3 linked regions of the Daphnia pulex genome follow. The protein of the gene in region 1 binds, or shares a complex with, the protein of each later gene. Links are inferred from orthologs where the notes say so. Each region holds a gene or a part of one and is shown in the gene's direction. Other genes may lie near its edges.

The links. The genes of interacting proteins can lie anywhere in the genome.
Region 2: U4/U6.U5 tri-snRNP-associated protein 1-like (region 1) and U6 snRNA-associated Sm-like protein LSm5 share a complex: the UniProt entries of both Homo sapiens proteins name them as parts of the U4/U6-U5 tri-snRNP complex. The link is inferred for Daphnia pulex from reciprocal best matches to the Homo sapiens genes SART1 and LSM5.
Region 3: U4/U6.U5 tri-snRNP-associated protein 1-like (region 1) and U6 snRNA-associated Sm-like protein LSm8 share a complex: the UniProt entries of both Homo sapiens proteins name them as parts of the U4/U6-U5 tri-snRNP complex. The link is inferred for Daphnia pulex from reciprocal best matches to the Homo sapiens genes SART1 and LSM8.

Annotation. Positions count from the first base shown.
Region 1 is NC_060026.1:10,447,314-10,451,759, forward strand, and holds the start of U4/U6.U5 tri-snRNP-associated protein 1-like, read left to right. Parts: upstream 1-1,543; 5' UTR 1,544-1,569; intron 1,570-1,670; 5' UTR 1,671-1,872; intron 1,873-1,953; exon of another isoform or gene 1,954-1,976; 5' UTR 1,977-1,989; coding exon 1,990-2,155; intron 2,156-2,210; coding exon 2,211-2,381; intron 2,382-2,438; coding exon 2,439-2,764; intron 2,765-2,828; coding exon 2,829-3,090; intron 3,091-3,148; coding exon 3,149-3,448; intron 3,449-3,513; coding exon 3,514-3,797; intron 3,798-3,870; coding exon 3,871-4,033; intron 4,034-4,107; coding exon 4,108-4,282; intron 4,283-4,347; coding exon 4,348-4,446. UniProt on the Homo sapiens protein: Plays a role in mRNA splicing as a component of the U4/U6-U5 tri-snRNP, one of the building blocks of the spliceosome. May also bind to DNA.
Region 2 is NC_060021.1:7,375,140-7,377,810, forward strand, and holds U6 snRNA-associated Sm-like protein LSm5, read left to right. Parts: upstream 1-1,537; 5' UTR 1,538-1,569; coding exon of another isoform or gene 1,570-1,602; 5' UTR 1,603-1,624; coding exon 1,625-1,657; exon of another isoform or gene 1,658-1,716; coding exon 1,717-1,914; intron 1,915-1,987; coding exon 1,988-2,026; 3' UTR 2,027-2,056; downstream 2,057-2,671. Other genes in the region: peptidyl-prolyl cis-trans isomerase H-like, read right to left, coding at 1,570-1,602; serine/threonine-protein kinase mos-like, read right to left, coding at 2,057-2,212, 2,271-2,435, 2,511-2,670. UniProt on the Homo sapiens protein: Plays a role in pre-mRNA splicing as component of the U4/U6-U5 tri-snRNP complex that is involved in spliceosome assembly, and as component of the precatalytic spliceosome (spliceosome B complex).
Region 3 is NC_060019.1:331,216-333,710, forward strand, and holds U6 snRNA-associated Sm-like protein LSm8, read left to right. Parts: upstream 1-1,262; 5' UTR 1,263-1,341; coding exon 1,342-1,372; intron 1,373-1,434; coding exon 1,435-1,475; intron 1,476-1,556; coding exon 1,557-1,684; exon of another isoform or gene 1,685-1,750; coding exon 1,751-1,841; 3' UTR 1,842-1,893; downstream 1,894-2,495. Other genes in the region: alpha-ketoglutarate-dependent dioxygenase alkB homolog 7, mitochondrial-like, read right to left, coding at 1-74, 140-307, 384-668; zinc finger protein 277-like, read right to left, coding at 1,905-1,991, 2,059-2,143, 2,206-2,495. UniProt on the Homo sapiens protein: Plays a role in pre-mRNA splicing as component of the U4/U6-U5 tri-snRNP complex that is involved in spliceosome assembly, and as component of the precatalytic spliceosome (spliceosome B complex).

The DNA of each region.
Region 1 (4,446 bases):
ACAGCTTAATCTACCAATTTTGAGCCATGGCAATCAACACATTTTTTAAGTTATAGCGGAATGTTTGAAATTAGTTGATGAATGTATTCTACGTGGCACACCTTTTGCCAAATCATAGAATCCTCTCACAATAAACCTTCTTCACTAGTAGCCGTCACAAATCCGCGAGTGAACTCATTGATCATTTTCAGTCAAACAGTTTCAACGGGTATGGCGTCCCCGAATTATTTAGGCAAATCAAGAATGACAATGTTACCCTCTGGTTCAGTAACAAATTTCATAGCAGCTTTGCTGCGGTTAACCGGGAACCTATAAACAGTTGATAACAATATTCGGTAACATACACACACAAGAAATTTAATTTGTAATGTGAAAATAAGATTACCAGTCATGTACTACACCAATATGTCTAGTTGATTTCATCTTGCAAAAAGGAAGAATATGTTCTTTGAGGATGTTGTTGTATGTTCTTGAATCGAACTTGCCAGTCACTCTGCACAGAGAAATATTTGGATGGAACGAAGATATACCACCAAAAAACAACACAGTATTACCAGTTTATTTCTCCGAACCAAAATGCAACTCTATCTTGCTGTTTTTGTCGTAACTGGAATTAGGCAACTTCGAACTGGAATTGAGCAATATTCCTAACGATTCAACAAGCGATTCGCCACTCAAAGAGGCCGTTTTTGATTTAGCGGAAATCGTCGCTAGGGGTTCTAAAAATTAACAAATAGATGGGTTTTGTGCAAAATTTTTCGCTAAGTCGATTGCTGAAAACCGCAATCGCCTAGCTTTTGTAATTTGGGAGATTTTTTTAAAAAAACTGAGAGGGGGTAGCCGAAATTTGGAATTTTTTTCGTTTTTTGTGCAGCAGTTTTCTCGTCAACTGCTGCACCTGGAAATATTCGAATTGTTTCATAATGATGGGATAGCCCACCTCTTCAAACAATTTTCATGTTTTTTCGATGCTCGGCTCAGAAGCCGAGATATTAACGATTGAAATTTTTGAAAAAATTTCTAAAAATTTCTTCGTTTTTCGGCCATGCCGGGCTTCATCCTATAAGCCACCTAGCGCTGCGAAAATCGAGAGGGGGTGGTCACCCCAACAGACCCTATATTCAGGGTAAACGTGGTCCGATTTGGAAACTGGAATGAGCGCTCTAGTGAGTGTGTCAGCTACTACGCTTAGCTACTTTTGAGAGCCTAGATGGCTCTGTTTCCAGTTTCTACTTCACAATTCTGACAAGCTCCGCCCTAAAATGTCTGAAAATCGGGGATACGTTTACCCTAAAACCGGGATAGGGAAGCCAACACAGCCGAGAACCGACCAGGCATCTATTGCTCTGGTTCTGCTATCGGCCGCAGTGGTGCGCATCGGCGTAAACTGCGCAGGACTTTTTGTTCGACTACTACTTTTTCATTGGAATAACATCTATAGTCTTTGAGGCGATCAGCCTACCTCACTAGCGAACCTGGTGCGGAATCTTGGAACCCTTAGTATAAACAAAAATCGACAACGACATTGTTCGTTTTGGACTTTTGGTTTTGCCGCACAAGTCTTCACATGTAAAACAAATAGTTAAAAACTATACTGGCCTTAATGTTTTCATTATGTTTTTCCTTTATTGATTTACGGATAAATTTATCTTCTGTTTTCTTTTTTTAAGTTTTATTCAATAGGAGGATTAACACGCCATCTGTTGCGGAATCAATGGATTTGTATTTGTCCCCGCTTTCCAATCCCGCATTTAGCAATTTACCAACACCCAACGGCATCAAAATAAATATTGCAAAAGCTGAAGTCTGCTTCTCAGTTCTCAAGTTCTGAAGTAAAATTGTTGCAAGATCATTAAGTGAATACAGATTCTGGTACCCTACTTTTATTGTTTGATATTTTAAGGAATTCTATTGAAAAAAATTTTATGTTTAAAGAAATCAAAACTTCCCACCTAAGTTAAACTACTTTCTTTCAGTTCTTAAGGAGACATGGACCGAAAAGAAAGTCGCGATCATAATAATTTTCGAAAAAGAAGACATCGTTCCCCATCTAGGTCTCCGTCAAGATCACATTCAAAAAGTTATGCCTCCGTCAAATCCAAACAAATAAAGGAAGATATAAGTCTCAACATTCAGAGCGAAGAACTGTTGACAGGTATGTATTCAAAATTATGTTTATTAGTAACTAGTAACCAATAATTTTTTTTAAGGAAAAGGGAATGATGAAAGACCAGTTGCTAATTCAACCAATGATACTTCCATTTCGATTGAGGAAACCAACAGAATAAGAGCTGAACTTGGTTTGAAGCCATTGGAGATTGGAGGAGAAAATTCAAATGTTGAAGCCAGTACTGAGAAAAAGGATGTTCATGTCCCAGCAGGTAATGATTTCATTTAAATGTCTTTACTTGTACAATTTAAATGTGGTATTTCTCTAGAGAACCTCCGTGAAAAGAAAGCCACAGAAGAGTTGAGACGAAAACTAGATGAAAGACGAGAAAAGAGGCAAATAGAACAAAAGCTTGCACAAGTGCGCACTCTTGCTCATACAACAGCTGATGATGATGACAATGCTGTTAGCTGGGTTGAAAAATCAAGAAGGATTCAGAAAGAAAAGGAAGAAGCTAATAAAAGAGCAAAAATGCTTGAAGAAATGGATGAAGCATTTGGTGTAGGAGATATGGTAACTACTGAACTGATTAAACAAAAAGCAAAAGCATACACAAGTAGAGACTTACGAGGAATAAAAGTAGAACATGACCGGGTAAGTCACCGACAACGTATACTTTTATTTGAATACCTGTGTTGATGTTGCTTTATTTTGTTAGGAAATGATAGCTGAAGGGAAAGAAGTAGTATTGACTCTTAAAGATCAAAACATCTTGCAAGAGGAAGGGGATGTTTTGGTGAATGTCAACCTTGTTGATATAGAACGCTACAAAAAGAACAATGAAATCAAGAAACAGAGACCGGGATATCAGCCCTATGAAGAGGAAGAAGTTGATGAATTGGGCCTTCCCAAACCAAAGCTCTTGCTTGCTAAATATGACACAGAAATAGAAGGAGAAAAACATGATAGCTTTGTCCTAGGTAAAATATTAGATTTGTTTTGTTGATCTTTACAAAAATATTTATGTTAAAATTCTAGGTAAAATTGGAGATGAAGAAGCCAAAATGAAAGCCCAAAAGTTGATGAAAGACAAACTCAAAATGCAACAGAAGAAAATTGAATCACTGGAATCGCGACCGCTCCAAATTGCATCTGAATATTATACAGCAGAAGAAATGGTTTCCTTCAAAAAAGTTAAACGTCGCGTCAAAAAGGTTCGATCCAAAGGCGACGGCATTTTAAAAGCTGACGATCTTATTCAAGAAACGCAAGAAACAACTTCGTCAGACTTGGGATCGAGATCTCGAAAGAAGAGAATGGATGAAGAGGTCACAGAAGGTATTTTAGTTTGACTAGTATATTGTTTTATTATTACTTATTATGTCTTGTTTATCCAACGCCAGATTTAAGCGGATTCAAGATTACTGTAGACGAATCCCAAAAAGAAATACGTCAGGCACTATTAAAAGCTAATAAACTAAAAGAAAGGAAGGCTGATCAGTGGGACATGAACATGATTACGCGGTCATTAAAACGCGAGCCTTTGGAAGAAACGGAAGGTATGGAAGAGGATCCTCTGAAGAGTAGTATCATACTGAATGCCACAGCAGAATTCTGTCGTACTCTTGGTGACATACCAACCTATGGTATGGCAGGCAATCGTGATGAAGACGAAGATGAGTTAATGGTAATTCATTGCATGAATGTTTTTTTTTTTTTGGTTTTGACTTTAATTAATTGCGTTTCTGTTTTGGCAATAGGATTTCGAGCGACAGTTGGCAGAAGAACGCAGAAGAAATCAAGAAAAAGAAGAGCGAAAAAGGGAGGCTGAGCGTCTTCAAGAACGCGGTGGATGGAATGTTCTGGAACGTGAAAACGATCAAGGTTCCGACGACAGCATGGATGTCGATCGTAATGAAAAGGGTATGTATACTGTGTTCTCGTCACTTTTATTGTTGTCAGTGTTTGCATTTTTTTCTTTTCTCTCTGTAAAATAGATAACGCTACTGTTATCCTGGACGAGGAACCTGATGTCGGCTCGGGAATGGCTGCAGCTTTGAAATTGGCTATGAGCAAAGGCTATCTGGAGAAAGAAGAGAAGAAGAGGATAGTTATTTCTAAGTCCGCCCAAGAGCTGCAGGCGCAGCGCTACACCATAGAAGATAAAGCAGCGTACAATTATTTTGTGTTTTGTTTATACGATATTCAGTTATTCTTATTTTATTTTGTTATTTCAGCGAGGACGACAAATATTCAAGAAGAAATCGTTTTGATGGCCCGGTTGTAGAATTTAAAGACAAAGAAGGCTACAAACCTTTGCCAAAACTTGAGTACAT
Region 2 (2,671 bases), on another chromosome or scaffold:
TGGTTTCACCTTTGTTACAATATCGTACAACAGGTCAACAGCATGTGATGAGTTTTTGAGATTTCCCCAAATGAAAAACAAACCTGATGCCTTCAAGAAATTAGTGTTTGACATTTTGAAAAAAAAAGGATCATGTTTGAAAAGTGAGATTTTACTTATTTCATCTATAAAAGTTTTAAGGTTTGCAGGATTAGGGGTTTTCGCTATTTCTTTACGTTTACGACCTGATCATGACTTTATATCACATAAGAAGAATGTTCTTCGATATCATTTAATAATGAAAGAAGTTGAGTGTGTATAAACAAAAACAGTAGGTTTACTTTCTACTCAAATTTAACACAATATATTTCACATAATCAGTTCAATCCTGGGTTTGTATACATGAGGCTACATAATAAGGTATTTATTTTTTACATTCGTGACAGAACCATTCGTCATCGTCGAGGAATATTCTTTTTACAACATAAGGGAGATAGATGTTACAAAATACTGGTAGTCAAAAAGAGGAGTGGTTAACTTTGTTTATGATTATCTCCGCGGCGTTGGAACCTAAAGCAACCCATCATCAAAGGACAAGGCGCTTCCATATTCCGCTCTTAAAGGATCTTTGATTGACGCCGCACCATGTGCTAATTCTTTCCCCTTAAAATCAATTACTTTTTCATTGTCAGTTCATTCATGTGATGACAAAGCACCGAGTGAAACTGAACACGAAAATACCAAGTATTTTTTCGCACTCACAATTCAGTTAAAATGTCTTTTGATATTCTCACTATAATAAAGTAAACTGCATCTGCATGTTAACTTAGTTTTGTATTGTTTTGTTTCAAGATATGAAAGACGTGTTTAGCTGTTAGTTTATTGGAATAAGAGACACGGGCATTGCATGGTTTATAGCGTGAAATCAGCTGAATCACACGTTACGTGTAAATCAGCAGAAATAGTGAGTTGCTGGTCAATGCGTTTGAAGGTCACAAAGAACCCCTCGAAGCCCCGTTCTGAGAACTCCGGCTCGACTTTCAGGCAGGTAAGGGGCGACAAAGGGTGACTCACTATATGCGTTTATAACGTGTATAAATCCTTACACTGAGCAAATAGAGCGAGAAATTGAAATGGTTAACAAGAAATATCACCCTGAATTGAAATGTTTATAAATTCTACTTTATTCCTGTTGCAAGACACTTAACTATATTTACAATTTGAATTTTAAGGTACTGATTCAATGTTGGACATTGTACTCTAAACTCTAGCTAAGTTAACGATAACGAAATAAAAGTTCTTTCTATACACTGACTATTTTTATTTATTAGTGATATTCAAATATATATGATTGTTATAAATACATTTTATTTGAATTTCCAAAGAAAAAAAATCTAAACCATTCAAATTTCAAAACACAGAAACAGAATGCCATCGGTCGCCAAATGAAAGTACTACATATTTCCATTCCGGAGTGCAATAGCCACTTTTGACGCTAGAGGACTCCGGACTCCGGAGTGCAATAGCCACTTTTGACACTAGAGCGCTCCGGACTCCGGAGTGCAATAGATTTTACCAAACTTAACTTACAAATTTTCGAAGTTGGCGTGGAAGACATTTCATTTTTTCCCTCTAATTAAATAAAATGGCTGCACCAGTACCCACGCTTTTACCTCTGGTAATACTTTTTTAAAGTTATGCAATTAAATCTTCACCTAAATTTGGTGTGGTATACAGGAGTTGGTTGATAAATGCATTGGTTCAAGGATCCACATTATCATGAAGAATGACAAGGAAATAGTGGGAACTTTGCTAGGGTTCGACGATTTTGTCAACATGGTGCTGGAAGATGTGTCAGAATTTGAATCTACTCCAGAAGGAAGACGTGTGACTAAGCTAGACCAGATCCTGTTGAATGGAAACAACATAACTATGGTAAGGATGCTATAGCAACATAATTTATTGTCTTATTACTTGAACTAATAGCCATTTCATGATTGATATTTAGTTAGTTCCTGGTGGAGAGGGACCAGAAGCTCATTCATGAATTTTTCTTTAATTTTCGAAAGACAATACATCATTCACTCAAATCCTTGAGAATATTTACAATTTCTGACATAGTTGGGCGGTCTTCAGGTTTTGGTTGCCAACAGCTTTGATAAAGCTTACTAAATGTTGTTTCTTCTTCATTACAATTACTATTGAGGACTGGTCTTTCATCCTTGGCAACAACCTAATAACCAACAAGAAACTTAACAATGAATCACATAAAAAGTCTAAAAATGAAATACCAGGTATGCTACAGTGGGCCAGTCCAAGTCAGAAAAAGGTATTTGATTGTGTTCAAATTGCCATAATGTTATACCATAGGAATAGACATCAGATTTTGTTGAGGGAACATCCCCTTGAAGTATTTCTGGGGAACAGTAAGAAACTGTACCTACTCTTTGTTGGTACTGAAACAGAAATTAAATAGAACACAAATTACATCCATTTTCAATCACATCAAGATATGACAAGATAAAACTAACCTGGAATAAATCAAGCTGATGAATGTTTGCAGAATTTCCAAAGTCTCCCAATTTAATCCATTTTTCACTTTTCACCATAATATTAGCAGGTTTCACATCAAGGTGCAGCACTCCATTTGCATGACAATATTCAAGAGCCATGGCTAATTGTGTCGAATAGC
Region 3 (2,495 bases), on another chromosome or scaffold:
GGTCGCTGTATATGTATGAGCCTCATCACACTGGCTGTGAGCAGAGATATGCCCGATATGGTGGGGCCACAAAACTATGTTTAGAGAAATATACGAATAGATTAGAATGATAATTTCCAAACGCTGTCATCTATCATACCTTTATGCTGTCCAGATGTGGTTTGATGTGACCATTCTCAGCTAAATCAAGCACATGGACATGCTGCATCGTGGTAGTTGAAAAGGCAAAAGCTCTCAACCGATTTATAACACAGTCATTGACTTGATTCCAAGTAGGTTTCTCTGTTTCCCTGTATCCGTGGATAGCCTTTTGGGTTTCGAATAACAAATGGTGGTCATTCAACAGTCAGACAACCTACGTGAACACGAAATTTCAGACTTACATCATCCCAATGGTCATACTGATACCGGGACCTTTTGAACTTCACCTCCAACTCTTCCAATAGGTTATTCTCTTCTTCAGCACTGATGAAATCTTTGTAGACTTGAAAGTCTTTCTCAAGCATTTGCCTCGTCGCTTCATCGCAGTCGGGAGAGAATTCTAAATTTGGAGAGATCCCGCGGGTCTCTGCGGGAGTTGAGCATGTGCTTCTTGAATGGGAACAAGTAGCACTTAAAGGAATTGCGCGCTTCAAAACTGCACGAATATTGACCAGATAAAGCACCATATCTCGATGCTAAAATATTCAACCATTAAAAGTCGGACATCAAAATATTTCAAATCGGCAATTTTCTGCAAAGAGCAGACGACGTTTGCGTGTGTGTACGTGACATGCCATATTTCGTTTTGATTGCAATCAAATGTAAAAAATGATGTCATTAAAAATGACAGACGGTACTTTATTTAATGGACATGTATATTTAAAATAAATAGATTTAACAAAATTGGGCTGGGGTTAGTCACGCTAATATATTATTTCGTTTAATGTTAATACCTCAAAACCGACCAAATAAAGAATTATACCGCATAATGGAAATGTAGGGCCTATCTGATTTTCAAATTTATTTGATGGCCAAAGAAAACGATTCATCAAAACTCTAGCCTGCTGAGTTCTTCTCCTCACCAACCATTTGATTAACGTCTCGGGAAAATAGCCTCAGGCACCCCTTCTCGATTTCTTTAGTCTTTTTCAAATAACCAATTTCCATACATAAACAAAAATTATATTACTCTATCGAAATCATTAATCACTGAAACATAAGTTTACTACAGTTTGTATGAATTAAATCTGAATAGAATGAATGAAAATACTTTGTTGATATTAAAGTAAAATAAACGGCAACGCTGTATTGCAGACGATTTTTACAAGCCAAATACAAAGTGAAGCGAGTGAAGAAATCATGGCATCAACGTTAGATTCTTACGTTAATCGTGAGTTTTAATTATTATATTGTTTATTATTCACTGAAAAATTGTATCTTTCTTGTTCGCAGGTTCCGTATGTGTTATCACGAGTGATGGGAGGAATTTTATTGTAAGTTGTAACGCCCGATCACAAGGCATCATCCTCACTCAATAAACCGTTTGAAATAATTTCAATGTATTCTTTTTACAGGGTATTCTTAAAGGATTCGATCAGACTATCAACCTTATCATTGACGACAGTCATGAGAGAGTGTTTAGTTCTACCCAGGGAGTTGAACAAGTCCAACTGGGACTGCACATCATCAGAGGAGACAATGTGTATGTTTCATCCACTTATTAGCTGTAAAATAACTCAATCATAACTATTTCTTGTTGTAATTTCAGAGTTTTAATTGGGGAAATTGATAATGAACTTGATTCCAGACTCAATTTATCAGAAATAAGAGCAGAACCACTAGCTCAAATCCACCATTAAAGTTTGCATTATTCCATCATGATCACTTGAAATACAATCTTTTTTACAGCTTTGTAGAATCATTCATTTTTTTACAATTAGCTCTAGTTTAAGCAGTTCTTCTTCAACTACTTTAAGGTTTATGATGGTGTCTTCAGGGATCACTGTTACCTAATTAAATGAAAAATCATGAAAACAAGTTTTTACATTAATAAAAATCAGACTTAATATAATTTACTTGGTCGGTTTCAGTAGAATCATCTGGAATGGTATCTTCTAGCAAACAAAGAAGAGCATCATTTTCATAGGTTGGAAAGTAGTACCTAAAAGTTTATCCAATAAAATAGGATCCACAAATAGAAAATTTTGAATGTATCCGGCTTACTGTGACTGATCCCAAACTGCCCGATCGGGAAGTTTAAAGTGACTGAAGTTTTGCATGTGCTCTCTCAGTTTATCCCGGGATTCAAACTGCTCATCGCAAAGTATGCATTTCTTTTCATGCACTTGTCTCCTGACGTAGTTGACAATCTTAATTTGCTGATAGATACTAAAGCTCTTTTTCAGGCCCAGAAAATCAAAGTTACTGTGAGATGCAATATGTTGGGATAAAACATCTGGTGCACTTGATTGAAAATCACAGAATAAGCAAATAGCTTCAGTCTCTGGCTCAAA